5 linked regions of the Tribolium castaneum genome follow. The protein of the gene in region 5 interacts with the protein of the main gene of each other region in a biochemical or structural test. Links are inferred from orthologs where the notes say so. Each region holds a gene or a part of one and is shown on either strand. Other genes may lie near its edges. The genes, in order: Fs(2)Ket, mbo, nuclear RNA export factor 1, Nup154 and Nup98-96.

What was found.
Region 1: the proteins of Nup98-96 (region 5) and Fs(2)Ket form a complex in vitro, tested with the Homo sapiens proteins (3 studies listed by BioGRID). The link is inferred for Tribolium castaneum from reciprocal best matches to the Homo sapiens genes NUP98 and KPNB1.
Region 2: the proteins of Nup98-96 (region 5) and mbo form a complex in vitro, tested with the Homo sapiens proteins (2 studies listed by BioGRID). The link is inferred for Tribolium castaneum from reciprocal best matches to the Homo sapiens genes NUP98 and NUP88.
Region 3: the proteins of Nup98-96 (region 5) and nuclear RNA export factor 1 form a complex in vitro, tested with the Homo sapiens proteins (5 studies listed by BioGRID and IntAct). The link is inferred for Tribolium castaneum from reciprocal best matches to the Homo sapiens genes NUP98 and NXF1.
Region 4: the proteins of Nup98-96 (region 5) and Nup154 form a complex in vitro, tested with the Homo sapiens proteins (2 studies listed by BioGRID). The link is inferred for Tribolium castaneum from reciprocal best matches to the Homo sapiens genes NUP98 and NUP155.

The regions. Positions count from the first base shown.
Region 1 is NC_087398.1:2,426,364-2,430,682, reverse strand, and holds the end of Fs(2)Ket (importin subunit beta-1), read left to right. Parts: coding exon 1-336; intron 337-470; coding exon 471-1,248; intron 1,249-1,476; coding exon of another isoform or gene 1,477-1,477; exon of another isoform or gene 1,478-3,457; intron 3,458-3,610; coding exon 3,611-3,718; intron 3,719-3,771; coding exon 3,772-3,787; downstream 3,788-4,319. Other genes in the region: CarT (carcinine transporter), read left to right, coding at 3,692-3,718, 3,772-4,128, 4,174-4,319.
Region 2 is NC_087401.1:12,421,552-12,425,070, reverse strand, and holds part of mbo (nuclear pore complex protein Nup88), read right to left. Parts: intron 190-3,519; coding exon 26-189; intron 1-25. UniProt on the Homo sapiens protein: Component of nuclear pore complex.
Region 3 is NC_087399.1:3,670,968-3,675,008, forward strand, and holds the start of nuclear RNA export factor 1, read left to right. Parts: upstream 1-1,225; 5' UTR 1,226-1,362; coding exon 1,363-1,417; intron 1,418-1,470; coding exon 1,471-1,733; intron 1,734-1,783; coding exon 1,784-1,870; intron 1,871-1,918; coding exon 1,919-2,353; intron 2,354-2,401; coding exon 2,402-2,511; intron 2,512-4,041. Other genes in the region: Rint1 (RAD50-interacting protein 1), read left to right, coding at 1-138, 231-757, 806-1,019.
Region 4 is NC_087397.1:1,220,663-1,223,339, forward strand, and holds the end of Nup154 (nuclear pore complex protein Nup154), read left to right. Parts: coding exon 1-610; intron 611-655; coding exon 656-1,027; intron 1,028-1,077; coding exon 1,078-1,318; intron 1,319-1,364; coding exon 1,365-1,593; intron 1,594-1,638; coding exon 1,639-1,888; intron 1,889-1,933; coding exon 1,934-2,060; 3' UTR 2,061-2,161; downstream 2,162-2,677. Other genes in the region: DNA ligase 1, read right to left, coding at 2,162-2,677.
Region 5 is NC_087403.1:3,508,286-3,511,229, forward strand, and holds the end of Nup98-96 (nuclear pore complex protein Nup98-Nup96), read right to left. Parts: coding exon 2,751-2,944; intron 2,537-2,750; coding exon 2,343-2,536; intron 2,291-2,342; coding exon 1,431-2,290; intron 1,383-1,430; coding exon 581-1,382; 3' UTR 508-580; downstream 1-507. Other genes in the region: protein tyrosine phosphatase domain-containing protein 1, read left to right, coding at 1-2, 50-197, 249-412. UniProt on the Homo sapiens protein: Plays a role in the nuclear pore complex (NPC) assembly and/or maintenance. NUP98 and NUP96 are involved in the bidirectional transport across the NPC. May anchor NUP153 and TPR to the NPC.

The sequences.
Region 1 (4,319 bases), on a different chromosome or scaffold from region 5:
AGACTACGGACCGTCCAGACGGCGCTCAAGCTAATCTCAGACCGGCAGCCTACGAGGCTTTGATGGAAATGGTGAAGAATTCACCGAAAGATTGCTACGTCACCGTACAAAAGACAACAATGGTGATTCTTGAACGTTTGCAACAAGTTTTACAAATGGAAACACACATTACGAGCCACAATGATAGGTCACAGTTTAATGATCTCCAGTCGTTGTTGTGCGGAACACTTCAGTCGGTTTTGAGGAAAGTTACACCAGAGGACGCGCCGCAAATATCCGACGCCATCATGACTGCTATGCTGACCATGTTCAACTCGAATTCGTGCAAAAGTGGAGGTAATTCACCAGCCAAATGCGCCTTCAAATAAAATCTTTCGCTTACACTTTACAGTGAATTGTATTAAAGATTTTAGTTTGAAGGCGTATTATAAAAAATTATAAGTACGGGAATTAAACGTTGTTTGTGTTAGGTGTACAAGAGGACGCACTGATGGCAGTGTCAACCCTGGTGGAAGTCCTCGGTGAAGGTTTCATCAAATACATGGACGCGTTCAAGCCGTTTCTTTACATCGGCCTTAAAAACCACCAAGAGTACCAAGTTTGTGGTACCGCAGTCGGTCTAACCGGTGACATTTTCCGCGCTCTCAAACTAAAAGCTCTTCCTTATTGCGACGAAATCATGACTCTTCTGCTCGAAAATCTCGGCGATCAATCGGTCCACCGTAGCGTCAAGCCACAGATTCTTTCAGTGTTCGGCGATATCGTCCTAAGTATCGGCCCCGAATTCAAAAAATACCTCGATGTTGTTCTCACAACACTAGCGCAGGCGTCGCAGGCACAAGTCGATAGAGATGATTTCGATATGGTCGATTATTTGAACGAATTACGCGAAGGTGTACTTGATGCTTACACGGGCATTGTACAGGGTTTAAAAGGCGATGGCCCGACACCTAATCCCGACGTTTTGATTCTCGAACCGCACATTCCTTTCATCGTTCAATTTATAACCGTGGTGGCACAAGACACGTTCAATTCTGATGCCACGGTTGCGGTGGCTGCCGGATTGGTGGGGGATCTCTGTACGGCTTTTGGAGCACCACTTTTACAACTCCTGGATTTGGAGCCGATCAACGAGATGTTGGCGAAAGGCAGACGAAGTGGAACTAATCGTACTAGAACTTTGGCCACTTGGGCTACGAAGGAGTTGCGCAAGTTGAAGGCTAATTCGACGGCCGCTGTAGCTAGTTGGTAAGTGGGAGTGGACAGTTTCAGCAGATCCAATTGGCAAAAAATCGTTACAAATAATATAAAACAGACATTATTAAAATTATAGCTGGGATTTTTTTAAAATTAAAATAAAGTTAGTTGTGGTGGGTCGGTTGGATCTGCTGCGTTTGAGACTTGGCGTTGGACTGTATGTGTCTCGCGAAAATCGGTGTGCTGAGCGAAGTTTGACAGTGCTTTCGATGGTTTCAGATTTTCTTTGGCATGTTGTGGTTTAACAGAAGGAAATCTAACGAAGGTGTGGTCAACGGCATCGATATTGGATTCGCATTATACATAAAACCAAAATTCTTGCAGACTTTAGTTTTCGTTTTGGCTGAGTCGGACCAGTTTTGCTCATCTCTCGGTTGAGTAAAGCTGGTCAGCTAGTTTGACATGGTATTGTTCCCCAATACTTTCGGTTTTCGGGGTGCAGAGTGAGTGCTGATGCATATGGACTCTTGATAAACTGTGAGTGCTAATCGTAGCTGTGAACGCTTGTGAATAGTGTCTGAATCTTCGCCTGGTTTCGTGAAAGGCGGTTTAGCTCAAGACTGAAGAGTGAAGTGGTGTCTCCTCTATCACTTGTTGCGTCTTTTACGTTCGTCTTCACTTTAGTGTTGTACTTGATTACAATAAAAGCATTTGTCTATTTCACATATCGAATTAATCATAAGTAGTTATTTTTATAATGGTCTTTGGTGAAGAAATTACCTATGCACTGCAGTCAGACAGAAGTAATCTTAAAATCCTGATTTATTATTGCTTCTTTGTTTCGCTGAAGTTGTGTGTAATTTCATTGCGGAAAAAAGCAAAACACGCTCTGGTGCTTCTTTAGATTTTGCGAATTTATATTAACTTTTCTCTTAAAAAGCAAAAGACTGCGATAATCAAAAACTGTCCAGAGGAGCGTGTTTCGGTTTTTCCCTGGTTGATTTTTTTGAAACAATTTCCAATTCACTGAATTCATACTCAGGAAATTTGAGAATAATAAATCTTGTGACTGGTATTTTTTATGAAAGATTTTTGTGAGGCCTGATTGTGCCTTGCGTGGGTGGTGTATGAAAATTTTCGAGTTTTTCGTATAAGTCGACACGCTGATTAAATATACGAAAGTGCTTGAAAGGGAGGGTGGGTATCGCAACAAAGTAAAAAAGAATCTGTGATTTGAGAAGGTTTCTGTAGTTGCCAAAACACGAAAAAGATACATTCAAATTCCATTAGTTTTTTAAATGCGTATAACGAAACCTTCTCAATGTTTTCGTAATTATAATTCTAGAATTATAATTATAAATTCCTTGTATGTGTGATATTTTTCCGTGGGCAATATTGAAATAAACCAATTTTTGTGTTTATTTTTATCACTAGTCCATTAAGCGACCTTCGTTGTTTTGGAAGGTACATTAGCGATGGGTTATTTTAACTATTGCCCACGTCTGGGTTCAAAGGCTGTATGAAATCACTTGTATAGTATGTAAGTAGTGTGGTTGTATATTTTGTATGTACGAAGTATGAAGAATTTTATTATGAAGTAGTGTAAGAATTTCTACTGGCCTAAATTATTTATTGAAGCTTCTAACTGTTTTATGCACACCGAGATATTTAATTTTAAAAAGCTCATTTTTATGGTTTTGTGAACCAGCCAAAGTGTGATTTTAATCCATGATCTTTTTAAAATTATTTCGAATTCTACGAATGTTCATGTGCAAAAAGGTTGCGTTACAATTAATTGGAAGGGTTTTGAGTGGAAATGTTTATGGTTGCATATTTTATTGGTTGAATGTTTTGTTTTGATTGTGCCATGTTGATTGTTAATCTGTAATCACCCCAAACGCGCCGATGTTTGACAATATGGTTTTCTGTGTGTTCTGAAGACTGAATTTATTAATTAAATAGCCTAGTAAAGCTCAAATGCCGTATGAAAGTTGACGCAAAATGCGGCTTATTCCAAACTTGGTATTGTCGAACACCGGTTACTTTTCTTCTTTTCCCTTAAAAATGTTACCATGTCTAGGGTGCCTATTGACCAATTCATCAAAATTGTATTAGATTTTAATTTTGTTAAGTTAAATTCCCTGCACGCCTTTTCAGTTAGGATATTTCACTTTTTAAATTCCCTCCCAAACGCTTGGGATCACTCCCGCAGAATTGGGATTTTTGTAGTTGTACGGATAATAAATGTTTCCTTTCTTTACACCCTGTTTTCTTTCACCCAGCCGCAGCAAAATTTCGCAAAATTCGACCAAAGGTAAGACTTTTCGAATAAATCCAGGGTTGTGTCTGTGTTCGTGTTGCATCGCCCCAACTGACTCTCACCGTAATTTATATGATTAGTGATTGATTTCAGGCAAGCGGGAAATAATCTCATAAACCTCACTCCTAAGTCTTCACTTATAAACCCAGCAATGGTCACTCAGTGTTGCGCAAAATGGATCAAAATGAACAAAACCATAGCGTAAGTACCACTTTCGCACCCAACCCAACAAATCTGAGCGCGAAAAATTCCAGGAATCGCTTGACCTAGACGACCTTTTACCCCAAGTGGGCGAATTCGGACGATATCAGAAACTACTTCTCTGGCTCATCTGTCTCCCTGCATGCCTCCCGTGCGGTTTTTGCGCCTTCAACCAACTGTTCATGACCGAAACGCCCGATCATTGGTGCAAAACACCACAAACACTCAATCTGACACAAGAAGAACGAAAAAATCTCTTCATCCCGAAAAACAACAACTCTTTCTCCAAATGTCTGAGATACACAATTAACTGGACACAAATCATGGACAATATCACCTCGGGGGCCACCGAGGGGTGTTCTGACGGGTGGGAGTTTGACCAAGACGCCTCCTCCAGCATTGTCACAGACGTACGTAGTCACACAAACCAACTATTTTGCTAACAATAGTTCCAGTTTGAGTTAGTTTGTGACAAAAGTATTTACCCCACCTTGGGCCTCGTGGCCCTAAACTTGGGGGGCCCTGTGGGCGTCTACTACTTCGGGATGTTAAATGACAGCATCGGGCGCAAAAAATCATTCTTTGTCTGTCTCACAACCCT
Region 2 (3,519 bases), on a different chromosome or scaffold from region 5:
TCTCGTAAAAATTTAAACTAGTCACCTGCAGAACACCACATCTCTGCTATCGGCCCCATAGAGCAGGTGCATGGCCGGCAGCTCCATCACTATGATTCCGGACGGGCCGGCCACCAGCAGCAATGTTCCGGTATCGTTGACCAGCAATAACTCCGGTTGGAACATGACCGGAAGTACGGGGAAGAGATTCTGTGAAAGAAGAAGAAGAAAATTATTTATTATTTTTTGCGCTCGTTTGATAAACGAGGTGCAATTAAGTGGAAAAATTCGGGTGGCGCGACCGCATCGTTTTATATCCTGATATTGATGCATAAAAAATAAGGAGATCGCCCCGTACTAATCCCGGTTATTGCCTAATTTAAATCGGGCCCGGGAAAAGCGAGCGTATAAATTATTGAAATTATTATATTAAAAAATCCATCTAAGAAGTCAAAGAAGCTATTATCCACGACCGTTTTGCCGTTAACTAAGAGCTATTTTTCCACGGCCGGAGGCTTTTTCGGTCTCGTAAAAATAGATTTAAAATTAACGAACGACTTGCACACACCCTCCGATCCACGACGAGGAAAGAGGAGGAAAAACGCCCCCTGTGTGTATCGGAGAGGACAACGGAATGGAAATTTTACGCTAATGGGGGATCTTATCCAGATGAAGATCTCCAACAATAAGAAAAATCATAATTAAAGCAATAAATCCTTTTCAATCGAAAGAACAGTTATCGGATTGACATTGCTTAAGACATTAAAAAATAAAATTCGGGCAAAAATTTCTGGCAAAAGTCAGGAAATTAACAATAAGTAAAAAAGTGTAAAGAACTAAAAACTAAGACGAAAACACACAAATGTAAAACAAATGCAAAAAAAAAGTAAAAAAAATATAAATAAAAAATAAATAAAATTATTACAATGATAGATAAATCCATTTTTGCGCCGGTTAGAATCTTTTATTGAAATAATATTTTAACAAACTTAACCACTAACGAGAATAAAGTACCTAAATAAACTGTCAATTTTGCTTTGTTAAATTAATAAATGATAAACAGTCTAACTAAATCCAAATTGTTTTCAATCAAAAAAATCAAACAAAATTCCAAAAATTATGCTTTGGTTCTGCAGCATTTCAATAACTCTACTTTAGCACATAATCAAAAAAAATCCCGAATTTTTTGTCCTTGTTCAAAGGAAATTCAGAAAGATACTGAACAGTGTAGAAATAAGAAACACTTCACTGACGAAAGACACATTACTATAACCAAAAGTAACCAAAAGAAATTGAGGATAAATAAATCTAGCACTAGAAATTAAAAATGGTAAAAAAGAAAAACAAGTAGAAAAAAAATAAAAAAATTAAAAAAAAATTAAAACACGAAAATAAAATACAGAGAGTATAAAATTATACACCCTTTGTGTAAAAAAAAGCAAAGAAAAAAAGTTTTTAACGGAAATTTTTAAAGACTAATAACGCAAATTTGGAGCTAGTTTTCGTTTTATTCTTAGAGAAGCAGTCAATATAAAAACTTTGCATTTGTTGCCTTAGGTCTAATTAAAAACCAAATTGGTTTCCATCAATAGAATCAAATGGAATTTCATAAATTATGCTTTGGTTTTGCAGCATTTCAACAACTTTACTTTAGCACATATTAAAAAAAATCCCAAATTTTTTGTTCTTGTTCAGAAGCCACAAAAATACCAAAGTATCCAAAAAGAAAAAAGAAAACCTTTGTAACAAAAACAAAATAAAAAAGTAAAAAAGTACTACAGCGAATACAAAACACAATCAAAATTTTTATAATGAACCAAAAGTAACCAAAAAAAATTGAAGATAAAAATCAAAAATAAAAAAAAAATTCAAAGAATTCCAAACACTAAAACTCTAAAATTAGAGCGCATAAAATTATACACCGTTTGTGTATGAAAATAAAAAAAAACAAAGTTTTTAAATGATATTATGAACGACTAATAACTCAATGCTTTAGCCAATCAGAAACGAAGTTTTCGTTTTGTTCGTAGAGAAGCAGACAATATAAAAATTTTGCTGTTATTGCTTTATTGGTCCAATTAAATAAACAAATCGTTTTACAATCAAGAGAATGATATTAGGTAACTCTATTTCGAAAAAAAACAAGCAATTAGAAATTTTGTTTTGCTTTATAAATAGGTAGACTCTAAATGACCTCACTATCCAAGAAAAACTCAAATTTATTGTTTTTTCAATTCCAATTTATTCAAGAAAAAGCAAATATACAACAAAAAAATAATTAGCAATAAAAAAAAACAGAACAAATTAAGCCAAACAACTAAAAACAAAGCAAATGCAAAAAAATTCGAAGATTTATATTTATATTATAAATATATTATTTATATTATAAATTTATACGATAGAAATTTAAATAAAAATGTATGGAAATATTTTCGCTGTATGTTTTATTTTTGGTTTGTTTTTTATTTTATTGATTTGGGTTACAAAGCTCTGTTTTAAACACAAATAGAACGATTGCTGCTACTATTAGAAACACCAGAAATTTAAGACTGAAGAAAGAATAAAGAAAGAATTACGTAAAAAAAATAAAATAAAGGAAAAAGCAGTAAAAAAGCAAAATAAGTAATTTGAAATTTTGAAATACAATTATGCCCTTGAAAATTTGACAATTTGACCGGAAAAGATCTGTTGGATGTTTAGAAAGGCAGTAATAAGTATTTATATTTTTCACGACGTTTCGATTTTTTATTAAATTTTCATCAGATTGCAATATTAATACGTGTTGCTTAAACATGATATTATAAGTTTAAATGTAAAATAATGTGTGCCACTTTGTATATACAGAAACAGACTTAGTAAAATTACTTTGAACGTTGGATATACCAGGTGATTCATCTAAGAAAACACAAAATTTACTACTATATTTTTTTAAGTTTTGGAGCGACAATTGTATGTAACAGATACGTGCATATTAATTATGGTTTACAATAATGAAATAATAATTTAATGTTTAAAGTCCAGTTAAAATATAAAAAAATGTACATGAAAAAAATAAAAAACATTTGCACAGTTTTCAATCGTGATAATTTCAACAACTGAAAAAAACTGCATTCCAGGCATTTGGGAATAAAATGCTTTTTTTTAAGACAGTCTTTGCTCGCAAATGCGTTAATTGTCTGCAACCTCCCTTCGGCTCCTTAACCCTTCCAGGAAACTGATAGAGCCCATCAGTAGCGGAATAATCAAAAGTGCCTCGGAATGATTTGCATAGGAATCACATCTGAGATAACGACAACCCTTGCGACACTCGCCCGTTATCAGGACGTTGATTGGCCCCCGGTTTTAATCGTTCGAACTGTCCTATCACCTAACCCATCACTGCGTTTCTTCGCTCTTAAAATAAATTTTTGCCACACAAAAGCAATAATCACCCCTTTTACCAAACACCGGAAAACGGAATTAACTCGTGTGCTCTCTATTAAGTTATTAATTCAGGAGCGAACTACCATAAATTATGGAATTTTTGAAAGCGCATACCAC
Region 3 (4,041 bases), on a different chromosome or scaffold from region 5:
TTACTGGATGATTTTAGAATAAGATTATTGCAACTGGTTAACGCGGAACATGAAAATATAGTCGAATCGAAGATCCCCACGATTGCTAACACGATCTATTACATCGAGAATGTTTTAGTTGATTGGGGGGCAATGTTGGTACGGCTGGCTCGAACCGTGCGATTTGATTGGCTGAACGCAGACTTTCAGCCAATCAAATGGCACTATCTATACTTATGCAAGTGTTTCAGCACTATTTGAATTTATACTACTACAAAAGCCAGTTGAATGACTACAAAGCACCCACAAGCCCGTCAAGTGATTCGGACGACTTTGACCCCACGGATATTGAGGGTGAAACTGTTTTTGCCGAAACTTTATCACTCTATAGGCACATGAGACGCGACTTGTTATTTAATTTATCAGATTATGTCATGTTGGAAGTCAGGTCACAAGGTAAAGCCTACAGGAGGGAAAGGTGGTCCTCTATGAATGTCGGTAAAGACATCAAAGGCCTGTCTTTAACACCCACAGCCTGCCCTATTTTCGAAATCGTGGCTAAACGACTACACCAACTGCAAAAAACTCTAGCTTCGAAACTTTTTACGATAGTTTGGCGCTCGGTTGCGCAACAATTAGATAATTACCTCTTTGAGGATCTTGTCCTTGATAATAGATTTAACACTGGAGGCGCTTTGCAGTTAAAGTATGACGTAACAAGGAATTTACTGCCGTTATTTTCGCAATATACCGAAAGGCCCGAAACGTATTTCGTCCAGTAAGTTATTTACTCAGTCGGTAAAGTGGAAAATAAGAACTGTTGCAGACTGATTGAAGCTTGCAATCTTTTAAATATAACTAAAGGGTCCGCTTTGCTACTACGAGAGACTCTCTTGGCTCTTGAGGGGGCCACAGGTATTGAGGACTCCCGCGGGAGAGCCCTCAAGGAGGTTGGGGTGGTCAGCTTCACCCCAAAAATGGCCGTTAAGATTCTAAACCAGCGCACCGACATTACTGTTAATAGGATGGACGTTGATTGAAGCATTTATACGTTTTGTTGAGAAATTTTATAATAAATGTTTTCCCCACCATTGCATTTCATTGAATCACCCTGTAAGTGAATCTAGAGTAGAGTATAAAATGTTACTTCTGGGCCAGAATATTTGGCGTCTTAAAAAACAAGTCAGAACCTTACAAATTTCCTGTACTCTACTATTCAAAAGTCGGTGATTTTCTCAGGGAATTTGGCCTCGCCTTGTTGGCAGCGCGTATCAATGGCGTTTACTTGTCGAAAGTGAAGTGGTGTTAAATCAGGCTCAAAAAAATTATTAAAAAAACAATAATAGTTATAGTTAAGTGCTAGTAAGTAATTGAGACGCTACTATGGCCTCAAAGGGCGGAAAATACAACAAACCGTCGTGGAGAAGCCAATACAGTGGTAAGTCCCCAGCACACTCCACGCGATTCGTTTAAAACGCAGTAAATTGCCAGAGCATGATTTTCGCGGCGGTGGCGAGACCCGCAAAGTGAGTTTCAAGTCAAACAAGTATAAAAAGGACAATAGAAACTGGGCAGCGGCGAGTAGGGCGTACCTGGAAGATGAAGACATTGACATGGGGGCCTCGTCCGGGGGCGGGCGAAACTTCAACCGGAAGCAGTTTAAAGGCAGACGGGGCGGTCGCGGGGACTCGCCCGTGCCCAATCACAAGAAACGGCGGCTTTTGGAGAGCCCCTTCGGTTGGTACCGCGTGACAGTAAGTGTATTAAGTGAGGCTTTTTGGGGGTTTTACACGTGTTTTGCTAGTTGCCGTTTGGGAATAAATACGAGAAGGCGTTCGTCTTGAAGACGCTGCTCGAGCGGATCCAACCTTTGCCCTTGTGGCCAATTACGGTAATGGTTTGTTTGTGTGAGGGTTTTTGACTGATTTTTTGTCTCCAGTGGAGTGTAAACGGCACAACTGCCACTTTTTACATGGATGAGTTTAAAGCCGCGGAAAAGCTGTACGATTTAGATCGCCAGATTCAAATGCCCGACGGGTTTAAATTGCTGATTAAGGTCAGTCATGGGATGCCAAATGTTGACGTTAATAGTGAGATGAAGGAGAAAATTAAATTAACGATGGCTAAGCGGTACAATGCCGCTAATAAAGCGCTCGATTTAACGAAATTCCACGCCGACCCTGACCTACAAGACAATTTCTGTGTACTGTTCAAACCGATCATTTTTCTAACAGTTTTGGAAATAATCGCGGAGAATATCCCAGAAATTGAAGCGATTAATTTATTCGATAACAAAATAGCAAACTTGTCGTATTTAAAGAAGACCAATGAGAAACTGCCCCATTTAAAAATTTTGCATCTAGGAAATAATAAGGTAATGTTGTTGCCCAAAATCGGGGATTTTGTAAATTTGGGGATTCAGTTTAAGGATCTGTCAATGTTGGACCCTTTTATTGGACTACCTATCGTCGATATTGTTTTAAATGGAAATCCATTATGCAACAAATACAAGGACCAAGAGGCGTACATTGGGTAATGTTGAACTAATTTATTTTTTGTAGTCATCATGTTATGAACGTGAATGCATATGAGGGTGACTGGTTATCGGAGATTGTCACTTGAATAAAAAAGAGGTTTTCTGCCAACAATGGAATAAAAGTACTTGAAAATTATTAACGAAATTTGTTGTTACGCAAATTTCAAAGTCCCAAATTTTCGCGATAATTTGTTTAAAACTTAAGTAGCATTACATGTGGCTTCGTTGCATTGTGGCTGAATTCTGCATTTGGCAACCTTTTAATATTATTGTTTGACTATAATTAAGTCACTGAAGTGTATAAAAATAAAAAAAAATCACATACAAACATTTCCATGGGATTACATAATTTTTGTTTTGTATTATCAAAGTGAGAGGAGGTTTCTCAAAGGTGCGTCCTTACAGCAGTTACGAAGCTTCGTAAAGCGATAGCTGGACAAGCATTGCAAGATTTTGCTGTCCATAAACAATGCAGTTAGTTTAAGAAGACAGAAGAACTACAAGGAGTGGACCAGAACACTTAAATGTGTATGTAATTTGGCAAAAATGCTTGTAAATCAAGCAGATTGTCTTGTTTTTCTGCACCTTAAACAATCAATGACTCCTCATAGTACAATAATTATTATATTTTTTTGTTTTATGTAGTAATCTTATGGAATTGATACAAGACATAATAATGAAAAGAAATACTAAATAATACCGTTAAAAAATTGAAAAATTATATGCTCTTCAGTGGCGATTTATTCTAAATTTATTAGTTTTGTTGTTTAATGCAGGAGTAATATAAATTGTTGATCGTGTAATGCTGTTTTAGTTTTAAATTTACGAAGCTTGTCTTACTTTGAAATTGTGTAACAACTGTCTGATCGGTTGCAAAATTCCTCGGAGGTTTAATTCCCAAAATAACAAACTTCAATAAATTTTGATTGTTTAACACTTTGTACAAAATTAGATTTTCGTAAGTTTTTGAATTAAACTGAAGAGGGCACAAAATACTGGAGCTATTGTATCCTATTTTTTTTCAAATAAATAATGTGTTAGGAAATGAGAAGTGGCTGAAAATACGGTACAAAAATCACTAACTCAGAATTTGTGACTAAATCAATTTCCGTTCCTAGAAAAAAAATCAGCATAAAGCTGTATTTATTCTTTTTCATTTACATAATAATTTTTTTTTCGCCCAAATACTTCTTGAATGAGTTTATCCCACTAATTCACAATTGTAACATAGTTATAATTCCGTTCCTAGAAAAAAATTCAAAATAAAGCAGTATTTCTTCTTTTTTTATTTACATAATAAAATATTTACAACATATTTACATAATAAATTATTTTTGCTTAAATACTTGAATGAGTTTCAACGTTTCATCAAGGGTGGATTTTATAATCGTCAGATAAACCCCAGATAATTTATTTCTAGTATAATTACTATGGTTACAATTGTTATAACAATGTATTTTTCAAAATTTATTTCTTAGATAAAGTAATCCTACGATTGTAAAATCCGCCCTAAATGAAAGATAAAA
Region 4 (2,677 bases), on a different chromosome or scaffold from region 5:
ACACCATTCAAGATGCGCAAGTTGAGGAGCGCTTATCACTAAACTCTCTCAAATTGTTCGTGTGCCACTGTTGCCAAGTCATGGGACTTTGGCGGATTTTATGCGAACACCAGTTCCATGTTCTGATCGGTTCGTTACCAGCGAACCATCAGACTATTTTACAAGATACCACTTTTAAAGACCTGTTCTTGTACGGACAAGACATTTGTTCCTTGCTGATCACCACTTTGGTTGATAGTTATCTGGGTGATAACGCCTCAGTCGACTCGATTAGTACCAAGTTGAGAGAAGTTTGCCCACATTTGTACAAAATCGAAGATGCGGCATTTTCGAAAGCCAACGAAATGCTGAAATCGTCCCGAAACATACAAAACGTTGACGAAAAGGAAGAAATGGTCATGAATGCACTTGAATTGTGCAAATCTATCGCACCAAACATTAATTTACCGGGGATTTGTAAACAATTTGTTACGCTTAAAGCCTATCATGCTGTCATTGACTTGTGCATAACTTGTGCCAAAAAAGTCGATCCGGATAACATAGCGCAGCATTTTTATAAAAATGATTCGTCCGTTGCGGACCAAGAAGGCCGAGATTTCTACCACAAAAGGTAAATTCAAATAAGTTCGTTCCTCGTAATTAAATTGTTGTCCAGGTTGAATATTTACAAAGAAGTGTTTAATATGTTGGACACGTTATGTACCGAAAACACCCCAAATTTGAGTATCAGTTCTGGAATGCCGCTAGAAAGTGACGCCCGATTGCTGGTCAACCAATTAATCAGCGATATTTTGGAATACCCGGACGAAATTTTACACGTGGCTCTGTATGATTGGATGATGAAGAAACAACTGAGCAGCGAACTAATTAAAGTCAATAACACGTCCCTTGAAACTTATCTGCTTCACACGTCGCAACAGAACCCCGAAAATGTTGCTGTTGTCGACTTGTTGTGGAAATATTACGAAAATAATAATAACCACGCAGCTGCCGCCAAAATCCTTGATAGTCTGGCGTCAAAAACGGGGTAACTAATTTTTTTGTTTGCGATTTCGTGTGATTATTTTTTTCCTGTAGGAATTCGCTGAATTTGAAAGAGCGTTTGGAGTATTTGACACGTGCCATAATGTGCATGCGGAGTGACAAAGTGGGCTATGCCCCCTATTTGGGGGTTTTCCTGCGGGATCTTGAGGATAAAATGGAAGTGGCTAAAGTGCAAGAGCAGATTTTGGACGCTGTGATTGGCTTAAGGGAGTCACACCCGGCAGCTGAGGACGCGATCAGGGCTTTGAATTCTGGGTTGTACCAGATTTCGCAAGTAAGTGGCTTGGAATAATTTTTGTGTTTTTATTGTGGTTTCATAGTTGTATGAAAATTTCGCTGACCCGCTCGAGCTGTGGGAATGCCAGCTTGCCATTATCGACTGTGCTGGGTACACAGACGAGAATTTAATTGAGAAAATTTGGCGCAATATTTTGAGGCGTGAAATTAGGAAAAGTACCGGCAATCCCAATAACAGAATGGCCCAAATTTTGGCCAAAGTCAAGCACGTGGCGCGACAAAGTGGCACTTCAACCCAGTGTTTCCCCATTGGTAAAAAAAAATAAAAAAATTCGGTTATTTATCGTAATTTTTTAGCATTTCTTGTTTCCGAACTGGAGCAATTGTCGACGTATTTAAAAGCGGACCGGTCTTTTGTTCCCAAAGCTTTCGTCGCGATGGAATTTCCGCTTGAAAGTCTGCTTGAAATTTACAACAGGCTTATATCTTCCATTTCTGAGATTCAAATTTGGCAAAAGGAAGAGAACGAGTTTCATTTATTTGAAGCTGTGGCTGCACTTATTGAGACGTTTCTCAACAGTCATGAAGCGTACAACAGCGTGCAAAAGTAAGTCAAGTGAATATCTATTGCGTTTTAATTTTTTTTTTGTAGGCGAAAAATTATTTCGCAGTGTCAGGACACAGTGGCCAGTCTTTTATCAATTTTGTACAGTAAAGCCAACACTGAGGAACTAATCAATATGTTGAGAGGCATTCAGAGCAAATTGTCAAGGTTGTAAAACGGGAAGTTTGTGCCTAGATTATTGTGTTCACTAATTTGAAATATTGGTCTTATTTTATATTTTAAGAATTTACAAACAAATAAACTGATTTTTTCTAACTAGTCGTTTATTATCCCATCCATTTCTTCCTGATCTACAATGAGGATTATTTCATCGTCGTCGTTTGTACATTCAGGTTGTGGGTCATTCTTTTCCTCTACTTTATCACTATTTTTGTTTGCTTCCTCCACATTACTTGCGTCTTTTGGTTCGCTGTTATCAGCTTGTTCCACATTTTCCTTATCCTGTGGGGGTTCAGGAGACTTCTGTTTGTCTAGTCTGTCTCTAATCAACTTGATTTTCTTCTTCTGTGTTTCGGGTTCAGTTTCATTTTTATCTTTTGGTTGTTCGGTCTCGGAGTCACTAGAAGTTATGACAATTTCCTCATTTTTCGGTATTTCAATTATGACATCGTCATTATCGGAGTCATTATGCTCCTCAACTGGCGTTTGTTGCGTATTTTTCTTGCTAGCTTCCAGCATAAGTTGCGACCTGATGGCCCTTGCCCTCGCCTGTAACTCAAGAAGCTCTAAAACGCTCATTAAATTTTCTTCTTGCAACGGTGCTTCTTTGAG
Region 5 (2,944 bases):
CTGTATGTATCCTCTGTGAGGACGCAATATAACTAGTTTTTTGTTCCAGGAAGAAGGCTATTTCATGGAATATTTGCTCCGATTTGTCAGTAAAATTAACCCGATTAGTAAAGAGAATCAGGAGGATTTGATAAAACGGATAATTGCCGCATGCTCGCAGCAAACTTTGCTAATCCAAGGGAAGATGAAACCGATAGGTTTGTATTTTTGCATTTGCCGCGTTGAACACAAACCGGCCGTGGTTGCAGATAAAGGGTTTAAAAAACTGCGGGACGGAACGTTGGCTTGCACAATAGAGTTTTTCCAGTCGTTGTTTGAACTGATTGAAGTTCACCACAGCCTTAAGTCGAGTGTTTACTTAGAAGAAAGCAAGATGTATAACGAGAATGATCTCGAGAATGACTTCCAATAAACGAAATGTGTGTGTGAAATACTATTTTTTTAATGTATGTACTTCTTTAATGAATCTCCTTAATCCATCGCGTACGTTTTTATTAAAACCACTCGTCCACAATAACATATTTATTAAGCAGAAAGGAATTACAATAAACATAAAATGACAATTATTAAAAATACATAACTAACGAATTTCTGGCTCCTCTACGGTGAATTTGTTGAACAGATGAAAGAACTCATAATGCTTAATATCAGGAGGCATGGCCAGATTGTTCAAAATCTCAACAAACTTGGCTTGGAACACCGGATTATCTAAACTCTTGTGAAAAATCTTAAACAGCAAGGCACATTTTCGCGAAAGTTCAACAACGAACAGCTTCTGTTTGTCGTTATTAGTCGGAAAGCAGTTAATTCTTCGGAACAAGGAAGCTAGTTTTCCCCCAACGGACGACACTTCGGTACTTCCACCCAATGTTTCTTGCAACTCCAGAAATTCCTTAACAAGTCCAACCTGCGTGTTCCAGTTCACTAGGAGATTGGAATACGGTTGGATCTTATTGATAAAGCTATTCAAATAGTCGTACTGTTCGTTAATGAACAGCTCGGGTAAAATATTGTCAATAAAAGCGGCATTGGCCTCTTGCCACTTCCCCATGTAGATGTAGTGCTGGAAGTACTCGTAGTAGCGACCGGCGATTTTGGCTTTCGTAGCTTTGATTTCGTGGATCCAAGATGCGGGAATTTTGAAAGTCTTCACAAGTTCTCTCTCAACTGACTCGGTTCGAGTCGAGAGATTCCTATCAAGGATTCTCATCACCAGATTCTTTTTCAACAAGTTGTTTTCAAGGAAGAGGAGGCAGAAGATCGCCCACTTCCAAAGGCCCAAGTTCTCCAACTGGGTGGCGAACGTTGTGTGCAAGTGATCCTTTTCCGACTCGCGAATCAACCCGACTCGCAATGACGCAAACAATTGAAGCAAAAACCAACTACAATATTCAATTTACACAAAACTGTTTGTTTTTTTGCAAACTTACCTAAGCCGATAGTCCATGAGATTATCAGTGTGTGTTTCGGGATGCAAAACATTACATAATTGATGCGTACCATCAACATAAAGCGTCAAAATTTGGTAGAGAATATCGTAGTGTTTTACTGGCGAATCAGCCTCGCAGTGCGGCGGTACCGGCTTTGCTGCATAGTCAAGTTCCTCAAACGCTTTCTTATACAAATTAAACGCCACACTAATCGGAGCTGCAGCTGGGGCCACGTACCACAAATGCACCCCGAAACTCCTCATCCAGTCCAGATCCTCACAAGTGTTTATAATTTCATGCACCGGTATGCCGGCAAGAAGCAAATACAATCTTTTGAAATCATCAGTGATTACATCCCTCTCCCTCCATTCAAAACTCTCCACGTATTTCCTCAACCAGGCTTTCACCCTCTCGTTGGCACTCATCTGGCTGATCAGCAGACTCAACTGACTCAAATTGTTGCTACCGGCCAACTCGCTCGCTTCAGCAATTTTATGGAATGACAATAGTTTGAAAATCGTTTTAAATGCCTCACTTTCGTCACGACCGATTCGGTCATGCAAAGTTACGTCGCCGGATAACTCGTACGAAAATTTTCTCAACCAGTCACTGACGTACTGTCTTCGCATACAAGGCGTGTTATCGCCCGGTCCCCACAGCGCCAAACACAAATTCCAAACGCTACAATAGTACTTTTCCCGGCCTGACAGTGGCTGAGTTTTTACGTAATCGTTGAATAAATCGGTTTGTTTTTGCAGGTAATTCAAGTCGCATTTAATACGAAGAGTTGGTATTTGGTTATTATCAAGCACGATATCACTTTCCTCAAGGGTTACTTTAAGTAAATCAGTCAAGTTTGGCTACAATCAAATTATACAACACATGATAAGATAACACAAACGCACAACTAACCATTGCTGAGTTCGCATTCATGACATCGACGTTACAATGAGTGAGGGCATAAACCACCTCGTTGTCAGCAACAGGATCATAGTTATAGAAATTGAAACCTTTCCCCCACCCCACTTTATACGTGTTGCAGCGGAAGACGCCCATCTCCGTGTAACACTTTTGAGTTGTGGTGACTTTTTCCGGAACGATTGCCACTAAATAAATAAACAAATATAGCTTTATTTCTTAGAAAACAAAAATACTATTAAAATATTATATAACAAACTGAAAATTATTTAATCGTACGTAATAGACACGCTGTAATATTTTAGAAAAAACTGGTAACACAATAGTTACTGGAACAATTCGAGCTGTTTTAAGGGCCATGGAAATAATCTACTTTAGAATGCTGATTTCCTGCACACTTACGTCTGATATCCGGTAGTTTGTAGACCTTAGGCGTCACAATAACCTTGCTCGGGATTAGCTGTTGTTTGAGAACACTTTGCGTCTTCTTCGGTTCTTGACTCTCCAAATTGACAAAAAGCGACGACTTGAGCGTCTGGATCGACGATTCTGTGTGGTACATCTCCTCCGAAATGGTGTATTGATCCTCTTCGGGC